5 linked regions of the Macaca mulatta genome follow. The protein of the gene in region 1 purifies or fractionates together with the protein of each later gene. This does not show direct contact. Links are inferred from orthologs where the notes say so. Each region holds a gene or a part of one and is shown on either strand. Other genes may lie near its edges.

Region 1 (4,508 bases):
TCTTGTAATTATTCCATCCTTGACCTCCCCTTTTGAAAAGGTACAAAGATTCTGTCAACTTAGTGTCTCCCTTACTATTGTAAGCCAACTTTGCATTATCCACAGGTTATTTACCCGAAGTCAGCAGTGACACTGGATTAAACGCTCCTTGAGGGAAGGCACAGTGCTTGGTATTTATTCTCCCACCTTCTCTGGGTGATCAAACATTGACGGAAGAGGAAGGTAAATGAGTTCTCAAACAGTGAGAGGAAAAATGTCCTTAGGATCAGAGGAGAGCCTACAGCAGGGGCAATGGGGCTGAAGGTAAGAGCTCTTGTTGCAGAAGTTGGAAATTCTGCGGTTGCAATAAGTCTCCCCTTTCTCTTGGTTTTATTCACTCATCACTTCTTCTTCACACCTGGTACTCAGCTGACGTTGTTTTAAATATTAAAAAATAGAAAGCATTCCAGCTCACCCCAACCACTTAACTTCATTACTCTGTGATTTTTTTTTTTTTTTTTTTTTGAGACGGAGTGTCACGCTTTCGCCCAGGCTGGAGTGTAGTAGCGCGATCTCAGCTAACGGCAAGCCCCCGCGGGGTTCACGCGATTCTCCTGCCTCAGCCTCCCGAGTAGCTGGGATTACAGATGTGAGCCACCACACCTGGCTTGTTTTTGTATTTTTAGTGGAGACGGGGCTTTCACCATGTTGGCCGTGCTGGTCTCGAACTCCTGGCCTCAGGTGATCTGCCCGCCTGGGCCTCCCAAAGTGCTAGGATTACAGGCGTGTACCACCACGCCCGGCCCTTTGTGATTTTTTTTGAAGTGGCCTTTGCCTCACTCTTGAAGATGCCCATAATAATGGCTAAGGGGCTGTTGTATGGTTCTCATCGGCATTGTATGGTGATGAAGTCATTGAAAAAATATGCTGACCTGCATCTCTAATTTCATAAATACTAAATTTCACATAAACACTGGAAAGGCTCCTTGGACTCAATATGCCATTAAAAGTAATGTAAGTTTGCTTTTAGCCAAGAAGTGGGCCCAAGAAGGTACCCATCCACCTTTCTACGTTTCACAGTGCATCCATTTTCAAATTCAAATTATCCTATCCCAGTTCCTGCAACAAGGCAGGTACTCTGGCCTCCCAGTCTTTGCTTACACTGTTCTCTCGGCAGAAACACCCTCCCCTTCACCTCCTGGTTACATCCGCTCCTCCAAGATCTAGCTGAAAGGCCACCCGTGGCGACCTCTCCTAAAAGCCTTCCTGCATACTCTCTGGCAGAATGAATGACCTCAGTACTTGGCCTCGGACGCGTCTGCCTTGTGCTCCGGCTGCCGCCTTCCAGCCTAATCCATCTGGAGGACCAGCCTTCCTGGAGACTGAGGCCTCTTCCTCTCGGATTGCCCAGTGCTCTGCACGTAGTAGGTGCTTAGTAAACGCTCGCACTGGGTTTGGTCACTTTGTTCCCTTAATGCCGGGGCAGGTAGTGGAGCAGAGACGGCCCCGGCTGTCTTCCTTCTTGCCCGCCCGCAGGCAAAGCCCCCGGAGGCGCAGGACTAGCCGCGTGCCTTTCCCACCGCCCCCGCGGCGCGCACAGCCCAGTCACGGGCGCTGGAAATTCCGGCGCGTGCGGGCGCGCTGGGCAGGGCGGGGGCGGGAGAACCCGTGGAGTGAGCCTGTGACGTGAGGGGGCGTGGCACGGCGAGGCCCCGCCCCCTCTCCCTCGCCCTCTCTCGCGGGTCGGGGTTACATGGCGGCGACTGCGGCAAAGCGAGAGCCTCGGAGACGCCGCTGCTGCCAGCACAGCCGGAGACCTGAGCCGACACTGGGGGCTGTCCGCGGGTCCCGCACTCTCTCAATGAGTCGGAGAAATCCCGTGAGTGTGTGTGTGTACGTGTGCGGGGTGCGCCGGCGGGGCGGCTCGGGAGGGCGCCGCGGCGGGCCCGGCAGCGGCGGAGCCGGCTCCCTCCTCCATTGTGTGTGACCCTCCGGCGGCTGCCGCTCAACAAAGGCGCTTTTGTTTGGTCTGCCGCCCGCCCCCTGCTCGTCCGCTTGCCCGCTCTCTCGGGCCTGGCCGGCGCGTCCCCGCGCGGGCCGGCGGGCGGCGGGCCGGGGTCTCCGCGTGGGGCCGGCGAGGCGGCCAGTGGGCCCCTCCCACCCGGCACGCCCCTCGCCGGTCGCCCTGCCGGGCTGAGCCCGTTCCCTGGCCCCGCACGCCGGCTGCCGCCCCGCCACCTGCGCCCGGCTCCGCGGGTTCGAAACCCAGCCGGACCGGAGGGCGGGCGAGCGAGAGGCGGCGGCCCGGGGAACATGAGGTGGCGTGGAGTCTCGCCTTCCTGGCACTCTGCCTTTCGAAATGCTCCCGCGTCTCCTCCCCCGTCCCACCCGGTGACTCGGCCTCAGCTGACTCCGGCCGGGCAAAGTCTCCAGTGGCGTAGCGCGCAGCGCTCTCCCGGCTCGCCTCAGAGCCCTGAAGTCCGCCCAAGTTTTGAGTCTAGCCATGAATGAGGTACTGAAAACTCGGAGACGAAATTCCTAATTTCCTCCCCCGGCCCTGCAGTCTTGCCTTAGCTTCTTTCGGGACCTTAAGTGGTGTTCTGTGAAAGTGCCCAAATGAAAGCTTGTTTTGTCGGTTCACCAGAAAGGGCCTTGTCACTTTGCTGTGCATTTTAGTCCGCCTTGTGAGTTGTGTCGAAAAGTAAAGGTGTTTTGGCAACCTTTTGTTTATTGACGAGTGTAGGACCCAACCGGTTCAGGTGTTACGGGGGAGCTCTGTGCAGCAGGAGCTTCTCGATTCCTTTCCTGTTTTATTTTTTCTTTTGCTTGTTCATTGGAAAAGGTCCAGTGAAAGGGACTGGTGAGTTGGAATTAGAAGCCGACTTGTATTAACGTCGTAATTCATGTTCATTGCTAAAGATGCAGTCTAAGTAATGACTTTTTTTTTTTAATTTTAACGGATACAGATGATTTGTCAAGGGGAAAAATTAACATGCCGTACAATGAAGAGCAAGCAGCTTCAGAGTAATTTTCTGATGGCTGATTCTTCTAGCCTGTCTCTTACAGTTCCGATTGGGCATGTCCTCTCTCTTTAACGCTGGAAAACCGAGATGGAAAGAATGATCTGACCAGAAGAATGTAGGGTCCAAACAGGGCCTGGCCCTGAAATCAGGAATTTCTTCATAGAAATGTCAGATTTTAATTTTTAAAAAATAATTTTGAATTGGGTGAAAGAAACTTTGTCTTTAGATAGTAATTGTTCAAACATGTTTATGAAGTGTTTGCTATGTGCCAGGGAGTGTAAAGTCTTTTCACATATGTTACATCATTTATTAAGAATTGCCTTGTTAAGCGTGTCAAATTATTTATTGATGTCCTGAATTCAGTAATTGCAGTTAATCTAGAAAATATGCCAGATTTGAGCAGAACATATTTGATCACCTAGGTATTACTGTTCAGAAGAAAACACTGGAAAATGGAGAATATTTTAGGAAAAACTTCGTATATGAGGATATTTTGGAATTCAGTTATTTGCAAAAGAGGATTAGAAGTAGTCGTTGGCTACTTGTGATTAAAAAATCCAGAGAAGAGTGATCTGAAGTAAGTTAATTTTGCAATTAAAAAAATGCACTCATTCTAAAGACAAATGTTAGCACTAAAAGTGTTGCAGTGCTTTACATAAATTCATTTAAAGCATCGTGAGAATCAACTGACAAAATAGTAAGGTTTGCTGACTCAGGGTCCTTTGCTGAAGGGGATGGGGTCGGGTAGGAGGAAGCTTACAAGTGCTGCTGCAAGTTTTGAGTTGGATGATGACTCATGCTGCCCACGGACTGCTACGTGGCTTTTTTTTTTTTTAAATTGTATTTTTTTTTAAATGATAGGCTAAAATGTTCCTGTCCACATTGAAATTCTCTCTCATTTTTTTCTGAAGAGGAACAGCAGTTTCTATAAAGTAATGGCTTCTTAAATTGCATTTTAAAAGGATATCCTATACCCTACAGGTGGAATTGTGTAACGTTTGCTGAGAGGAAAGGTAAAACCAATTGCTGGTCAGGTGCTGAAATTAAATGTTTGATACTAACAGGTTTTTGGCTACTGCTGAGAGAGATTTGTTACAGGTTATTTATAAAGGACAGATAGTACTTTTATGGTGTCGTTAGAAATTGACCTTATATTTTTATTGGTTATGTGAGTTATCTTTATATTTAATATTTAATCAGATATGGCTCTGAATATGAAAGTTTCACTCTCATGGAATTATTAAAACATGATTATATGTTGTGCTTTGTGATTTATGTGAATTTTCTGTTTTAATAAAGACAATTTGAAATAGGTATTAGGCACTATTTTTCATTTTTTTTTAAGATAAGCTGAATGTACAGTTCCAAATTTAAAACTTTAAGTTGAAACTTGGTAATAAGATACATCTTTTGACTGATTTTAAAACAGGCAACGTTTAGCAAGTTGGCTTAAAATAAGATTGAGAGGGGGAAAAAGATTGAGAATGGCAGTTTAAGAGTGGGGCT
Region 2 (4,523 bases), on another chromosome or scaffold:
AGTTATGGCTTGATTAGATAGGCTTTGAAGACAGACAAGCCTGATAATACCTGGCTCTGCAACTAACCAGCTGTGTGGGCTGTGGCCTGTAATTCAACCTCTCTGAGCTTCGATTTCCCCATGTGTAAAATATTCATACAACTGTTGTAAGCTGCAGATGATTTACTGTATGCAAATAGCCTAGACCAATTAAATGGGGGCTGTTGTGATTAAAATAATTATTAGTGTTTCCCCCCACGGATCCTATAAATCACATTCAATCCACTATGCCATAATTTAAATGTGTAAAAACTGTGCATCAGACTTTTATTGGATTAAACAACAAAGTATGGGAACTGGGCAAAAATGACATAGAGCTATCCAAGAGTCTCTGCTGTCGCTGGTTGAGAAGGATGCCAAGATCAAGGAGTTGATTCAGGTAACTAAGGGAATCTGAGGAAACATCGTTGCTTAACTGTAAAAACTAAATCAAACTACTTCATCCTCCTCAGAAGACCACAGCAAACATCCATCTTGCTCCTCTGTAGCCTGGATGGGGCAGACCCAGGTGTTAGGAGACGCACCTGGTCCGCTTCCGCCCACTAGGCCCTGGGCACCTCGGGGCTAGGGACAGAGGTTTGGAGCAACTCACCCCGGAGACTCCGTTGATACTGCCCCAGAATCTCCTCCAGGGTAGAGTTCTCCGGGGACTTCGCCATGCACACACTCTAGGCCCAGAGCTGGGAGTTACGTGGGGAAATGTCCAGCTTTCTCCCTTCCGAAAACAGCAGGCCTGTGGCCGCGGAGCGCCGGCCTGCTTCCTGCCGCGGCTGTCACAGGGGAGCCTAGAATCCCGCACGAAGCTCGTGGGGGCTCTTCCCACCCACTGGCCCTCGCGTTGGACCTCGGGAGTTGTAGTCCTCATGTTCAGCGCCTCCAAGCTCGACAATCTTTAGAGCCTTCCAGCTACACTACAATTCCCAGAGACCACTGCGCACCAAGCGCTAGCTCGGACGGTTGGGCTGCCAGAGCCTGTTGCCAAGAGACAGGCTTGCAGGCCCCGCCCTTTTCCTCCAGCCCAGCCTGGTTTAGTCCCGCCTCCATCCCGCTCTTCTGCCGCCTGGACCACCCCAAATGACAGAAAGGGTTCACTGAAGGCCTTGACGCTTCGAATTTGCTAATATGCAGCAGTTGATCCCTAGGTTACTCAAGGACGCAGAGAGGAACCTCTGAACCCTGCTTCGGTTGCGGTATTTTTTTTAACGGTCGAATAAATCCTCAAGAAATAGAAGCTCTAAATCCTCCAAACAGCCTAAATTGTAAAGGCGGCCGACACTACAACTCCTAGCATGCCCAGTAACCGGACCTCCACTTGGAGTTGGCGCTCTGCCCGCTGGGAACTGTAGTCCTTGTTGGTTGCGGTCCCACCTAACTCCGAGGTCCTCTTCATTGTTCTAGCTGGTCTTTCGGGGCACGCCTGCGCAGTGGGCAAGCTGGAAAAACGTGTGGGTGAGACCCTCGCACAACCCCTTTTCATTGTCTGTGTCTGGCGCCTGCGCAGTAAGGAATCGTTGGAACTGGGCAGGAGGAGGGGATAGGGTCCGGCTCCTCGCCCTTTCCCGAGGCGCCTGCGCACTAGGCAGCCGCTCTTTGCCGTTACCGCTATGTGTGGGGCGTGTGTGGAATAACGTTATTGCCCAGCGGAGCTGAGGGCCCCGGAGCTCGACCGCAGCGGCAGCGACGACAACAGCGGCGGCGACGACGACGAGGTGGGGGGAGGACGGCGTGCGAGAGACTCACGGGACGCGACGCGCCCCGCCTCCCCCGTCCGGTCCCTCTCGCCACTGTGAGGGGTAAGTGATGCGATCGGCTGCTCGGTGTAGGCGCCGCAGCCGCCGCCGCGGCTGCTTTTCCACGTCCTGCTCCTCGGGTTTGCAGCGAGGACTCGGGCGCGGCCCGCCGCGGGGCGGGGGTGCGGGGCTGCGGGGCTGGACCGCGAAGGGGGCGCTTCCCGGATGCTCCGCGCGGCGCCGCCACCCCCACCCTCTGCCCGCCCAGGACCGGGGTCTGGACGGGACCACCCTTCCCATCCCCCACCCGCCGCCCTCGGGAGCTCCAGTCCTGCGGCCCCCCGGCTTTCCCGAGTCCCTTGCCGCCGCCTCCGCGTCCCCTAAGTGCATTGACTCATTTTCAGCTTTCTCCTGGCTTTGTGCAGCCCTCCCCCTTCCGCCGTAGCAGTTTGCGAGGGGTGCGGGCGGAGCATTGGAGGGAATGGCTGCGCTGTCGCTGGGGAAGGGATTTTTCCCCGATTGGAGCAGTTCCGCGGGCCGATCCCTTTTGTGTGGTTGGTTTTGAGGTGTGAGGCCGTTGGCGAGGTCAGGCGAGGAGCCTTTTGGACGCGTTGGGAGGGCGTGGAAGACGCGCTGTCATGCACCCTGCCAGGCGACTGCACCCCGCGGAGGCTCTGGCTCCGTAGTAAACCCGGGGGAGGAGAGAGTGGCTTCCTGTCGGCTTCATTGTCCTAGGATTCAAATATAGGGTTTTGGTACGTTTCGCTTCCATTTTATGCAAGCGATGAAAAAATAACATTTGCAGCTGCCTAACACAGGGCGGGAAGACGTGGGATTTGTCTACTAAGTCACAGAATCTCTGTTCAGTGGCGTTTCGTAGAGTTTTATTTATTTATTTAATTTATTTTTGAGGAATGTAAGGGAGACAGGGACTATGCCTGCTGGAGTCCAAGCACTGCCAAGGTGATCAATATAAAATTACTAGGTGACATTGGAGCCTGGGCTGGAGAGGGCCTGACAACGAAGCTGTTGTGTCAGGGAAATGAACCAGCAGAATTGTTTTTTCAATGGGCGGGTAATGCATTTATGTTCCTGAGGGAATAGATACATCTTTCCGTTTTATTTTTTAAGCAAGTAGAACAAACAAAACAACTGGCCCAGGTCATTTCTGTTTCCGAAGTTGTTACCTCATTTTTATTGTATTAATGAAAATTTAGCCATTTGGGAGGAATTTGGCGAAGCAGATGATACATTTGATTGAAAATGCATCTTTTAAAACGATTTCATCCTCAAGTTTACAATGGATACAGCCGTTTGCTGGCGTTGCTTCTTAAAACACACCAGAAGAGAGGATAACGCAGGATGGGGAGGAGCAGGTGGAGGAATAATGGGAGAGGAGAGAGTGACATTTTGACTATAGTATCTGGATCTTCACTGGTATAACCCTAGCTGGGTATGCTTCAGAGACTTAGGAATTCAGCTCTGGAAACAGTACACTGATGAATAGCAAGTTACGTATTTTTCTGTCATTATTTTTTAAAAAGTAAAACTAGGGCTGCCTTTAGCTCTTCCTAACTTTGTAGGTAACACGGAAGAGCCCAAGTGCACTTGACAGAGGAAGACACTAAAACTCAGAAAGTTAACTGACTTGTCTGCCCAAGCCAGACTGTTAATGGAAGGCAGAGCCAAATGAAACTCAAGGTCCATTCTGCAGAGTGATCTTTCCTGTGTCCCCCCAGCCCTTTTACCCTGTGAAAATGTATGGAAAGCTTCTTTACGCTCTCCTTGAGCAGGCTGTGACTATCACTGAACTTGATTCTCACCGTTATTAATCAAGTTCTTGCCTCTGCGATGTAAAAGTAGTAATTCTTCTGAAATGGACCTTTAGTTGTATAAAGTAACTTACTAAATGAGGAAAGATGTCCTAACATGTGCTTTTCATAAAAACGAAGTGTTGCAGTGTTTTCCCTACTACTTAATGGTAGGTTTTAGTATTATTTCTTGAAAATCAATAGTATTTTATAATAATATGATGATCAACTCTATAGGCTGTGTTAAAAATAAAATTTCTGCATAACAAGAGCCTGTGATGTTTATTTTACCACAGTTAATGAGTTGTAATCATTAATGAGTTATTAGTGATTACTTTCAACTTAAACTAGAATTTACATTTTAAGATATATTGACTTTGTTTTTTATTGGGTTGATTTTGCCATAAAGTGCTCTTTTCTTGCCTTATAATTTTAATCGTTTAATTTTATGTTGCATTTTAATAGACTTCTTTAAAGGATTTATTATTTATCTTAAATTTCAACTTTAAAAAATGTGTAACTAAATTTCAGTGTGTGGAATTATATTCAATCATGCTTTAAATGTATTTTACTGGTAAATTTCATTGTGTTCTGAGATTATTTTGTATGGAAATAATCTGCCTGTTCCCTATTTTAACATTAGAATAGTGAAATTTATACTGTAAACCTTAGCATACATTCTGCATATTAATGCTGCTATGGTACTTTTTAAAATTCTGTGCTTCGTGATTTGTTTGATTTGTTCTAAGTATCAGTTTCTTGTTCCTTTTTATCTACTGAAAAAAAGAACTAGTTTTATTATTGTATCTGATTGCAATTAGATAATGCTCATCTAGTACTAAATATTGTATATGCTTAAGTTTTTTTGTCAAAATTTTTTTATTCCACAAAATTCTATTCCTGAAAAATATTTTTTCTATACTAATTAATATGTAAAGACTTT
Region 3 (4,667 bases), on another chromosome or scaffold:
ATGCTTACCAGTACGAGATTTTAAAAATATTTCCACGACAGCCGTTTCATCTTCTGGAAATGAGTGAGTCTTGTATTATCTGCAATATCTGATTACTGCATTTCCATTACCTCTGAGGGTCACCTAACAGCCTTGGAGAGAGTCAGGGTCTCTGAGAGAGGCAGCTCTGCCTACCAACTACCACTCTGTAATATCTGGAGAGGCCGGGTGTGGTGATTCACGCCTGTAATCCCAACAGTTTGGGAGGCCGAGGCGGGTGAATCACCTGAGGTCAGGAGTTTGAGACCAGTCTGACCAATCTCTACTAAATACAAAAAATTTAGCCAGGCCTGGTGGCGCATGCCTGTAATCCCAACTACTCGGGAGCCGGAGACAGGAGACTCACTTGAACCCGGAGGTGGAGGTTACAGTGAGCCAAGATTGTGACATCACACTGCAGCCTATGCAACAAGAGGGAAACTCCATCTCAAAAACAAAAACAAAAAAACAAAAAAATATATCTGGAGAAAGGCTTTGGGATAAGCCCAAATTGTTCTACTTGACTTTCGGTGTTGCCCTACCTACACTATTAGCCAGATCTATCTGATGAAACTTACTGCTAAAGTTACTTGAGACTTGGATTCTGCTCACCTGCAAGCCTCATGTCTTTGGGGAATTCACCAGGTTAATCTTTCTGGGTCTCAGTTCCCACATCAGCTCAACAGGGCAATATGCTCAACAGGGCAATTTCCACATCAGCTCAAAAGGGCAATATCGTTTTCCTTACAGGGTTGTCCAAAGACTTACAATTAGCCTGGCTCACTATCGATGGTCCACAAGTGTCAGCTACCTAATACTAAAACGCCTAGGCATGCTTGGATAGGACAACTTGGGCACAGAATTTAGAGGGGTGGTTTTGTTTTGTTCTGTTTTGTTTTTTGGTTCTCTGGGAACTGGACAAGGTGACACAGCCAAGGCCCTTCCAACTCTTAAGAATTCTTCCCCAAAGAAAATACTTTGCATATGCCTCAGCAGAACTCAAAAATATCCACGAACTCTTAACTGACACTAAAAAGTTGCATACTCCAAAAATCACTTCTGATTCCCAGGTGTCCTACCAGGTCTGCAAATCTTCGATTTGGGGGTGCATGACCTAGCTGCTCTTAAGCATACGCCCTCAATTGTTACCCCATCTCCCGGCTCACGGCTGGCCCTCGGGATGCAGCGACCCCTCCTCGCCAGGCTCCGCGGGACTCCGGGAAGGGCACTCAGTGCTCCGGCAACGGCAGGGTTCGCATTGCTGAGGTCCGCCCAGAGAACAGCCGCGCCTCCAGCTCGCAGTTCCTCCGAGCCAGGCCCGGGAGCATTTGTGCCCCGCCCCACGCGCCGCGTAGGTCCTCCCCGGATCACCGTCCCCGCACCCCGCGCCCTTCCTCCACTCCCGGGTGATACCTCGCCTCGCTCTGGCTCCGCCCCCGCATCTCAGTCCCGGATCCTGACCGCCTAGAGACCCCGCCCCGCCCACGCCCCTACCCCCGGCCCCACCCCCGAGCCCCCGCAGCCCCAGAGCCGCCCACGGGCTACTGACGCCGAAAGCGGCCAGGCTACGTTCTCAGCCTGGCCCCGCCCCAACCCTGGCCCCGCCCATGCCCCAGGCTCCTGCCTGGGCTCTGCTCTCGGCCCCGCCCCGCACCCAAGCCCCGGCCCCACCCCCAAACCTCCGCAGCCCGCGAGCCCAGGCCCCGCCCCCGAGCCCCGGCCCCGCCCCTGAGCCGCCCACCGGGTAGCGATGGCGCACTTGGCCTGGAGACTTGCACAGCGTTGGTGTCCGAGGTAAGCTTGGAGCCCCGGCCTCCCGGCCCAAGGTCTCCCGCAGGATACCGCTGTCCAGGCGAAGGTCATCGCCGTTGGAAGACCCTCCTTCCCTATTGTCTAGGTGGCAACAGGACTTTCTTTGCTGGTTTTCCAGGGAGGCAGTACTAAAGGATAACCACCTCACTCGCGCGCCCTCCTGCACCGATGGGCCCAGAGGGGTCAGGATGGGCGCGTCGGGAGGTCAGGGCTATGGTTCTCTGTCCGCAGTCCCCGAGGTCTCCGCCTGCGTTCGCGCACACTCCCATCCTCCGGGGGCCGGACTCCGGGCGGGTGAGCCGCCCCAGCTGGGCACGGTGGTTCCCCGGACACCCGGGCCTGCACTTCCCAGCCGGGCTGCCTCTGGGGTGCAAAGCGTTGCTTGCTAAAAGCGAGGTAAACGCAAGCCGTTACCACTCGTGTGGACTTAACACTCTTTGCCCTTTGGAGAACTCGTATGCTATAAAGTGAAATGGCCGGGTACGCAGTCACGGCTAAGCAGCACGCTCCACGTCCCAGGGGTCCCGGGAACCCCGCACGAATCTGTGTGTAGGGAACAAAACCGAAACACGGTGGTGGCCTTGAAGTGGTAAAATTATTAGTGATTTTCCCGACTTTATGTATTTCTTAAATGGTCGTGTTTTTGCTATTTGTTTTTAAAACTCACGCTTTATTTAAAAATAAATAATTTGTTCCACATTTTGTGGAAACTTGACGTTTCTTCTTTTTGTGGACATTTTAAATTTTTCTTTCGTTTTCTACTTGGAATTTGCCATATAAGATGCAGTTTTTCCCTTTACAGAAAATCATTTTAATATAAAACTTACTGTAGGCTGATCTTACTGAATCAGTTACTAATAGTCCAAAGTTTGAACCTAGAGTTCATTGTACCATTTTCGAGTTACGTAATTGTGTTTGTGTGTGAGGTTTGGGCTTTGTAACCTGTATTATTTTAATCATCTTTGATGCCATTAACTCTACTATTCCGGGTCATCGTCGTGAACATCCATTTTTTGCTTGTGGCCTGCCTGAGTCCTGTGCATTGAAGTTTGCCACCCCACCCCCGCTCACTATGTGTGCTTAAAAACCTGCTCGTCACCCCGCGGTGGTTACTGTTTCTGCTCTGTTCCTGGCTGGCTGGTTAAACATCCCCACAAAAGGAGGCACGCCTGCTGAGCCTCCTCCTTCACTGACTCCCTTCCACTGCAGGTAGATTCCCTCCCATCTGCTGAGAAGGCTGTGGCTCTGTCTGGAATGCCAGCAACTGTTCCTATGCCCTTTTGAATATTTCTTGTATATTCACATCCATTCTCCCTTCCTTCCACCTGTGTGTATGTTGGAAACCGGTTTTCCAGCAAAGAGACAAGAATTGACCTGATATAGTTTATGGCTTATCAGTGAGTGCAGAGGCTGTTTCAGGACTTTGGGACACGTTACAAAATTCTGTGCACTTTAGCTTTTTGGTCTCTTGCTGTTCACTGTCTTGCATGCGCTTCACTTCTTGCTTTTGGCAAAATTTACATGGTATTCCTGTTCTGGCTGTTTTTATCTTAAATTGCTTACAAATACTTCCCTGGATGGTTATTTACTTTTCCATTTATTTAAAGTTAGTACTGTTAGCTTCCGTATTGAGTTACTATCTTGGAATCCTTACAGCCAATTATTTGCAGCCAGTTTGCAGAGGCAAGTATAAAGAAAATATGGACAAACATAGCATTTTAGTATGTATGGGTTGGGAACAATTAGAAATCAGGCTGCAGAAATGTGAGGGTTGGGAACATATAGAAATCAGTCTGCCTAATTGTAGTTCTCTGCAGGTCATTAGTTTCCCAGTAGTTCAGCTGCACCTGAATAGAACAGCAATGAGAGCCAGTCAGAAGGACTTTGAAAATGCAATGAATCAAGTGAAACTCTTGAAGAAGGATCCAGGAAATGAAGTGAAGCTAAAACTCTACTCACTGTATAAGCAGGTAAATGCCTACGGTCTGACATTTAAATAATTTTAGGCAAATGACTCCTTAAGTAGATAAACTGTGTGTTTACTAAAATGTAGCCTTAATATTTTGGGTTTGTCTTGCTCCCTCTTAAGTGTGTGTGTGTGTGTGTGTGTATATATATATGTGTGTGTGTGTGTATATATATGTATGTATGTATATGCGCGCAAGTTTTTTAATATTAGACCTTGAAATATTATCAAGGCACAAAGTGCCTCAGTGTCATGCCAGAGTAAAAGAGACTTACGAGATATAATATTCACATTTGTAGACCTTATTTAGCTCTTGATTAGAATAAATCAATTGAAAAAGGTATTTTTAAGATAATTGGGGAAGTTTTGAATAAGGTCAGAGTGTTAGAAGATACCTAGAAATCATTGTTAATGGTGTCAAGGTTATATAAGAAAATGTTGATATTTTTAAGAAGTGCATACTAAAGGATATAGGGGTGAAACAATGGATAGTTGAAGTTCTCTAAGCAAAAAAAGAAAGAAAGGGATAGATGAGGCCAGGCATGGTGGCTCACTTCTGTAATCCCAGCACTTTGGGAGGCTGAGGCGGGCAGATCCCTTAAGGTCAGGAGTTTGAGACCAGCCTGGCCAACATGGTTAAACCTCGTCTCTACTAAAAATACAAAAATTAGCTGGACGTAGTGGCGTGCACCTGTAATCCCAGCTACTTGGGAAACTGAGGCAGGAGAATCGCTTGAATCAGGTTGCAGTGAGCCAAGATTGCGCCACTACACTCCAGCCTGAGTGACAGAGCAAAAACTCTGTCAAAAAAAGAAAAAAAGAAAAGAGAGAGAGATGAAGCAAGTAAGGCAATTTGATCGTTGTTGAAACT
Region 4 (4,465 bases), on another chromosome or scaffold:
AAAAAAGTGAATTTTACCAGTTTCTCTCCTAGCATCCAATTTCATTTCCTGTTAACAGTTTGAGTCTTCTTCCAGAGATATTATATACATATGCCGTATTCTGTGCATGTCCAGCATGTCCAGCTATACTTTTTTTTTTTTTTTAAGACAGAGTCACTCTCTCACCCAGCCTGAAGTGCTGGAGCGCAGTGGCATGATGTTGGCTCACTGCAACCTCTGCCTCCTGGGTTGAAGCAATTCTTCTGCCTCAACCTCCCAAGTAGCTGGGATTACAGGCACCTAACACCACGCCCCGCTAATTTTTTTTTTTCTTTGAGACCAAGTCTCTCTCTGTCTCCAGGCTGGACTGCAGTGGCGCTATCTAGGCTTACTGCAAGCGCCGCCTCCCAGATTCACACCATTCTCCAGCTTCAGCCTCCTAAGTAGCTGGGACTACAGGCGCCCGCCAACACGCGCGGCTAATATTTTGTATTTTTAGTGGAGACGGGGTTTCACCGTGTTAGCCAGGATGGTCTCAATCTGCTGACGTGATGCACCCGCCTCGGCCTCCCAAAGTGCTGGGATTACAGGCGTGAGCCACCGCTCCCAGCCAGCAGTTTTAAAGTACTTTTTATGCCTTCGGATAGCTGGCTTTTACCAAGGGAGTTTCGCTTTTTTTTTTTTTTTTAAGAACATGAACTTTTTTTTTTTTTTGAGACGGAGTCTTGCTCTGTCACCCAGGCTTGAGTGCAGTGGCGCAATCTCTGCTCATTGCAATCTCCGCCTCCTGGGCTCAAGCCATTCTCCTGCCTCAGCCTCCCGCTGGGATTACAGGTGCCGGACACCGCACCCAGCTAATTTTTGTATTTTTACTAGAGACGGGATTTTGCCATGTTGACCAGGCTGGTCTTGAACTCCTGACCTCCCGCCTGCCGCGGCCTCCCAAAGTGTATTACAGGCGTGAGCCACGCGCCGGCCTAAGAATATGAACTCTGGAACCATGTAATCCTACTTTAGCCCTTCTGAAGCCCAGAGACCTTGAACCTCGTGTCTTCCCGTGCCTGAGTCAGTTTCCTCTGCATATAGTGGGAAACAGTACGACCTCCCGGTGGGAGTTCATATACAGTCAGCGCTTAATGTTGGCTCGTCTGTACTCATTCCTTTACGTGGGTAAACTCACAGTAATGCAAGTTTTATTTTTAGTTAACATGATATATACACATGCATGATGACAAGCTCTGCTGCCATTATGTCCTTGGACGTTTCAGCTGTCGCCAATTATTCCACCATTATGAAACAGCGGTGTCATGAACTTTAGCAGGAGCTATTTTCTTTTCCTTTTTGGACTGAGTCTCCCAAGCTGGAGAGCTGGAGAGCAATGGCTCTATCTCGGCTCACTGCAAGCTCCGCCTCCCGGGTTCACACCGTTGCAGGAGCTATTTTCTCAGGCCAGGTTCCCACTGGGGCAAAGGGTCCTTTTCTGAGCTTGGCTCTAACTATGTAAGGCAACCGGAACTCGGCTGCCCTTAGTAAAGATGGCGGGGAGAACGGCGTCTTTGCCTGTCAGGCTGCGGCATCGGTGCCCTCGCTCAACATGGCGGCCGTTTGTGCCCGCCCCTTCCGCTAACTGGTGGGTTACTCGGTCCCAACGCCGTAGATGAAGGCGGCGGCGATGGCGGCGGGGATAGTGGCTTCTCGCAGACTCCGCGACCTACTGAGCCGGCGTGAGTCACCTCTTGACTTATGGTGGTGTATCGCGCTGTCGTGCTGTTATAGCAGCTGTAGGACGGGGAGGCCCATCCGGGGTCACGAAGGGCCCGAGTCCCCTAAATTCAGGGGTGCGTGTGCTCCCTTTTGAAGGGCTCCCTAATTCTATAGGCCTGTGTCTTGGAGTCTGGGGTCATCAAAGGCTCTTCCTTTCTCCGCAGGATTGACAGCCTCCAACTACTCGGGCCTCAGTATTAGCCTTCGCCTCACTGGCTCCTCTGCACAAGAGGAAGCCCCAGACCACAGCTATGAGTCCCTTCGTGTGACATCTGCGCAGAAACACGTTCTGCATGTCCAGCTCAACCGGCCCAACAAGAGGAATGCCATGAACAAGGCCTTCTGGAGGTGTGACCTGCAGATCCTGGAGGCCTGCCTGCTGGGGGAGGCGGGGGCTGCGGGACTGAGCCAGAGTGGAACCTTGTGGGGAGATGGACATGAGGGCAGGGTATTCCCACCCCATTTGTAGCCCTTCACTCGTTGCTTCACAGAGAGATGGTAGAGTGCTTCAACAAGATTTCGAGAGACGCTGACTGTCGGGCGGTGGTGATCTCTGGTGCAGGAAAAATGTTCACTGCAGGTACCAGACGCTCTTCACACACCCTACCAGCCTTCCCAGCTCCTGGCAATAGACAGTGGAGCAGTGCTTCTTAATTAGGATTTTAAGCAGCTTCTAACTTACACTTTTTTTGCTGTTCGTTTTGTTGTGTTTGTTTGTTTTGAGGCAGGGTCTTGCTCTGTTGTCAGTCTGGAGTGCAGTGGCGCAAACTCAGGTCACTGCAACCTCTGCCTCCCGAGTTCAAGCAATTCTCCTGCCTGGGACTACAGGCGCGGGCCACCACGCCCAGTTAATTTTTGTGTTTTTAGTAGAGACGAGGTTTCGCCATGTTGGCCAGGATGGTCTCGCTCTCCTGACCTCATAATCTGCCTGCCTCAGCCTCCCAAAGTGCTGGGATTATAGACGTGAGCCACCACTCCGACCCCTAACTTACAGTTTTATCTGTTTTTTGTGTGTGTGTGGTTTTTTTTTTTGGGAGACAGGATCTTGCTCTGTCACCCAGGTTGGAGTGCAGTGGCCTAATCATAAATCACTGTAACCTCAAATACTTGAGCTCAAGCCATCCTCCCACCTCGGCCTCCCAAAGTGCCAGGTTTACAGGCAGGTGCCACCAGCCCTATCATTTTTTTTTTTTAAAGGCCTAATTTAAAACATTCAAATATGAAAATTAGTCCAACAGAACATGACGGGATCATAGGCTCTGAAGTCTGGGTTTCCATCCTGGATCTATGGCCATGAAGAACATGCTTAACCTCTCAGTCTATAGCTGTGTCAGCATATAATATAATAACATGCTTTCATGCAACTCTGCAACTCACTCATTGATTTCCAGTTACAGGTCAGTTGGATCTTTGGATTGACCCACTGACCTGTTCTTCAGATGGGAGAATTTCCACTGATCACAGTTACTGACTCTTTCCTCATCTCTGTCCTCCTGTAAAGCCCACCCAGATTTTTTCGTTTTGTTTTGTTTTGTTTGAGACAGAGTTTCGCTTTTGTTGCAATGGCGCAATCTCAGCTCACTGCAACCTCTGCTTCCTGGGTTCAAGTGATTCTCCTGCCTCAGCCACCCGAGTAGCTGGGATTACGGGCGTCTGCCACCACGCCCAGCTAATTTTTTGTGTTTCTAGTAGAGATGGGGTTTTACCATGTTGGCCAAGCTGGTCTAAAACTCCTGACCTCAGGTCATCCATCCGCCTAGGCCTCCCAAAGTGCTAGGATGACAGGTGTGAGCCACTGCGCCCAGGTACCACCCACTGATTTTAAATTTCAGATATTGTAGTTTTCAATTCTCCAATTCCCATTTGGTTCATTATTTATTTATTTATTTTGAGACAGAATCTCGCTTTGTCACCCAGGCTGGAGTGCAGTGACACAATTCTGCTCATTGCAACATCTGCCTCCTGGGTTCAAGCAATTCTCCTGCCTCAGCCTCCTGCGTAGCTGGGATTACAGGTGCCTGTCACCAGGCCTGGCTAATTTTTTTTTTCTTTTTTGTAGAAGGACTCTCACTCTGTTGACTAGCCTGGAGTGCAGTGGCACAATCTCGGCTCACTGCAACCTCCACCTCCCAGGTTCAAGCCATTCTCTTGCCTCAGCCTCCCGAGTAGCTGGGATTGCAGGCAACCGGCACCATGCCCGGCTAATTTTTATATTTGTGGTAGAGACAGGTTCTCACTGTTTTCGCCAGGCTGGTCTTGAACTCCTGGCCTTCAGTGATCTGCCCACTTCAGCCTCCCAAAGTGCTGGGATTACAGGAGTGATCCATTGTACCTGGTCATTTATTTATTTTTTGTCATGCATGTTTTTTTTTTTTTTTTTTGTGAGACGGAGTCTCGCTGTGTCACCCAGGCTGGAGTGCAGTGGCCCGATCTCGGCTCACTGCAAGCTCCGCCTCCCGGGTTTACGCCATTCTCCTGCCTCAGCCTCCGAGTAGCTGGGACTACAGGCGCCCGCCACCACGCCCGGCTAGTTTTTTGTATTTTTAGTAGAGACGGGGTTTCACCATGTTAGCCAGGATGGTCTCGATCTCCTGACTTCGTGATCCACCCGCCTCGGCCTCCCAAAGTACTGGGATTACAGGCTTGAGCCACCGCGCTCGGCCTCATGCATGTTTTTCTTCCTGCCATTGAGCATAGTTATAATGACTGATTTAAAATCCTT
Region 5 (2,666 bases), on another chromosome or scaffold:
ACCAGCCACACTGCTGTCTCCTTCGCCCCACTCTTTCTTATGATGCCCACACCAGCCACACTTCTGTCTCCTTCGCCCCACTCTTTCTTATGATGCCCACACCAGCCACACTGCTGTCTCCTTCGCCCCACTCTTTCTTACGATGCCCACACCAGCCACACTGCTGTCTCCTTCGCCCCACTCTTTGTTTCCATAGTCCTTACTTATTACCTTTAAAAATACTAAATACTGGCCGGGCACGGTGGCTCACGCCTGTAATCCCAGCGCTTTGGGAGGCTGAGGCGGGTGGCTCACGAGGTCAGGAGATCGAGACCAGCCTGGCCAACATGGCAAAACCCTATCTCTACTAGAAAAATTAGCCGGGCTTGGTGGCACACGCCTGTAGTCCCAGCTACTCAGGAGAATGAGGCAGGAGAATCGCTTGAACCCGGGAGGTGGAGGTTGCAATGAGCCGAGATCATGCCACTGCACTCCAGCCTGGATGACAGAGCAGGACTCCGTCTCAAAAATAAATAAATAAATAATAAATACTTATTATGTATGAACATTATAGAGAGAAAAGGCAGAGGTTCCACAAGAGCAAGGTTCCTTTTCTTGCCCACTAGAAGAGTATATAAGTGGTATTTGTTCAATGAATGAAAAAAGGGCTGAGTTGGAGACTGGCAGCTAGCAAGAGGAGGTGAGAAAAGGGGAGGGCAAATCATGAAGACCCCAGTGGCTGCGCTCAGGCCCTCTTCATCCGAGCCCCTGGAGATCTCTCCCCACCCCTCCCAGTACTCACTGCACTTTGGAGGCCAGGGTCTCGGCCCCAGCATATTGAAGGGAGGGGGAAAGCAGCACAGGAGGGGGCTGCTCCTCCCGAGGAGGTGCACAGTTCTCGCCAGGCTCCTCGAACCCTACCCCAGGCTCTCCCTTCAAAGGACGGCAGCTCAGGATGGAAGCAGTACCTGGGAGGAGAACTGGGTCAAGATAGCCCTTTTTATTCCTCCACAGCCCCCCAGGCTCAGCCCACCTTGCATGGGCCTGCTCCCCAGTACCTGCTCCCAGCTCCCCTCGGTCCAGCACTCTCCGTACAGCTGCAACATTGCTCCCATGATAGGCCATGTGCCACTTCTTGGTTAGTGTCCCAGCCTCCAGGCGGGGATTCACTCTACGAGGTGGACAAGCAGGGCAGATAGAACGAAGGACACTGGCTCCCCAGTGGAGGAGCTTCACGAGGCTCTTCCTTAGGCAGGAAGTTCTATCACTTCTTCCATGCACCTTCTTGGGATCTCCATTTCTCCAGGGGGAAAACAGTAGGGGAAAGGCATGACCCTGCCCGTATGTACCTGAGGTTGAACCTGCACCAGCCAAAGGGCAGTGCGTATTCCCGGGGAGGCTCCCCTCTGCGCCTGTGGGCCTCGTCTCCTCGCAGCTTCCGGCAAGACTCACAGTAGCACAGGCTTCGCTTTGGCGGAGGCATGAAATAATCTTCTGCGGGACAGTAAGTAGCAGGCTTGGTGCTGTGGCTCCCACCCTTGATCTCAGCCACACTGGCACCCTTCAGCTGCTCTCCACGGCTCTGGGCCTGGCCCTGGGGATGAAGTCGGTTCTGGGGACCGGGACTCACCAGGAAGCAGCAGGAGTTCTCGGAAGCGAGAGCAAAGGGCATGGTACTCGCAGCTCTTTAGAGGACTAGCGGCGGGTGGTGGGCCCCAGCACACACTCTCTTTGATACCTGAGGGAGCAGAGGGGCACAGGTCACAGGAGTTAGGCTAGAAGGGTAGGGGCAGGGGAGTAGGGGCAGGAGCGGGGTCCCTTTGGGCTGGCACACCGTCCACCATGTCTGCTTTCTCCATGTCCCCTTGGGTTCCAGCACTTTTCCCACTGGCAGCCCCTGGCTCAGGGTTCACGATTGTCACCTGCAGGGGAGAGGGTAGTCAGACAGCTTGGTCAGACCCCAGGGCCTGATGATTCTGGAACAGAGACTTCCCCGTCCTGGATGGCCCAGACTCTTAGGCACCCCTCCTCCCTGCCCCCACTGCCACTAACCTGCTCACACTGCCCATAGAGGTCCACAAGCGCGTGGCAGGGCTGGGGCACATCTGGTACAGCTACCCCCTGGTCCACCCCATTAACGTGGAGATGCAGCCCCCCAGAGCTGTCCAGCCGCAGTCCCAGGATGGTGCCTTCAGGGCACGTGTCCAGATTCGGCCCAAACTTCTCACAGATCTGGGAGGGGAGACCGGCTGTCTTCCAGAGGTCACACTCCACCACAGCAGCCGTCCTGCCCTTTGCTCTGCTTCCTGCTGCCAGCGCCTTGGCTTTGCCTCCACGCTTGCCTGCTGCCGAGACTCTCCTCCCGCTGCAGTTACCTAGAGCCCCTCCTCTTCCCCAAAACTGGCACATTCTCAACGGCAGGGACACCGCAGGAAGCAGCAGGCCTAAAACTGACCAGGCAACGCCACTCACCCTTGCCTGCCCATTACTGTCCCCCTTTTACACCTGTGGTCCTACCTCCAAGGCTAGGGGCCCACTTCTCCCTTCTGGCCAGCCCTTCCCTACACACAAGCCTGGTCCCGCCCCTTCTCTATGGCTCCTACTCACCTTGAGACCGTTGTGGAAGACCCCGCGGCCCCGCAGCAGCCAGGCTGCCCGTTTGAGGGCACAGGCAGAAGCAGGGAAGT

The links.
Region 2: the proteins of MAPK6 (region 1) and CEP170 purify together in Homo sapiens (affinity purification with mass spectrometry; 3 studies listed by BioGRID and IntAct, with this or other methods). This does not show direct contact. The link is inferred for Macaca mulatta from reciprocal best matches to the Homo sapiens genes MAPK6 and CEP170.
Region 3: the proteins of MAPK6 (region 1) and ECI2 purify together in Homo sapiens (affinity purification with mass spectrometry; 3 studies listed by BioGRID and IntAct, with this or other methods). This does not show direct contact. The link is inferred for Macaca mulatta from reciprocal best matches to the Homo sapiens genes MAPK6 and ECI2.
Region 4: the proteins of MAPK6 (region 1) and ECH1 purify together in Homo sapiens (affinity purification with mass spectrometry; 3 studies listed by BioGRID and IntAct, with this or other methods). This does not show direct contact. The link is inferred for Macaca mulatta from reciprocal best matches to the Homo sapiens genes MAPK6 and ECH1.
Region 5: the proteins of MAPK6 (region 1) and NEURL4 purify together in Homo sapiens (affinity purification with mass spectrometry; 6 studies listed by BioGRID and IntAct, counting the BioPlex papers as one, with this or other methods). This does not show direct contact. The link is inferred for Macaca mulatta from reciprocal best matches to the Homo sapiens genes MAPK6 and NEURL4.

The regions. Positions count from the first base shown.
Region 1 is NC_133412.1:29,311,757-29,316,264, forward strand, and holds the start of MAPK6 (mitogen-activated protein kinase 6), read left to right. Parts: upstream 1-1,702; 5' UTR 1,703-1,872; intron 1,873-2,073; exon of another isoform or gene 2,074-2,491; intron 2,492-2,741; exon of another isoform or gene 2,742-2,839; intron 2,840-4,508. UniProt on the Homo sapiens protein: Atypical MAPK protein. Phosphorylates microtubule-associated protein 2 (MAP2) and MAPKAPK5.
Region 2 is NC_133406.1:5,892,576-5,897,098, forward strand, and holds the start of CEP170 (centrosomal protein of 170 kDa), read left to right. Parts: upstream 1-1,611; 5' UTR 1,612-1,832; intron 1,833-4,523. Other genes in the region: SDCCAG8 (serologically defined colon cancer antigen 8), read right to left, coding at 632-698.
Region 3 is NC_133409.1:179,093,955-179,098,621, forward strand, and holds the start of ECI2 (enoyl-CoA delta isomerase 2), read left to right. Parts: upstream 1-1,748; 5' UTR 1,749-1,768; coding exon 1,769-1,812; exon of another isoform or gene 1,813-1,915; intron 1,916-3,637; coding exon 3,638-3,800; intron 3,801-4,667. UniProt on the Homo sapiens protein: Able to isomerize both 3-cis and 3-trans double bonds into the 2-trans form in a range of enoyl-CoA species. Has a preference for 3-trans substrates.
Region 4 is NC_133424.1:49,920,932-49,925,396, reverse strand, and holds the start of ECH1 (delta(3,5)-Delta(2,4)-dienoyl-CoA isomerase, mitochondrial), read left to right. Parts: upstream 1-1,632; 5' UTR 1,633-1,636; coding exon 1,637-1,703; intron 1,704-1,907; coding exon 1,908-2,091; intron 2,092-2,234; coding exon 2,235-2,323; intron 2,324-4,465. UniProt on the Homo sapiens protein: Isomerization of 3-trans,5-cis-dienoyl-CoA to 2-trans,4-trans-dienoyl-CoA.
Region 5 is NC_133421.1:8,810,879-8,813,544, forward strand, and holds part of NEURL4 (neuralized-like protein 4), read right to left. Parts: coding exon 2,587-2,666; intron 2,229-2,586; exon of another isoform or gene 2,212-2,228; coding exon 2,032-2,211; intron 1,902-2,031; coding exon 1,814-1,901; intron 1,718-1,813; coding exon 1,610-1,717; intron 1,474-1,609; coding exon 1,329-1,473; intron 1,151-1,328; coding exon 1,038-1,150; intron 948-1,037; coding exon 782-947; intron 1-781. UniProt on the Homo sapiens protein: Promotes CCP110 ubiquitination and proteasome-dependent degradation. By counteracting accumulation of CP110, maintains normal centriolar homeostasis and preventing formation of ectopic microtubular organizing centers.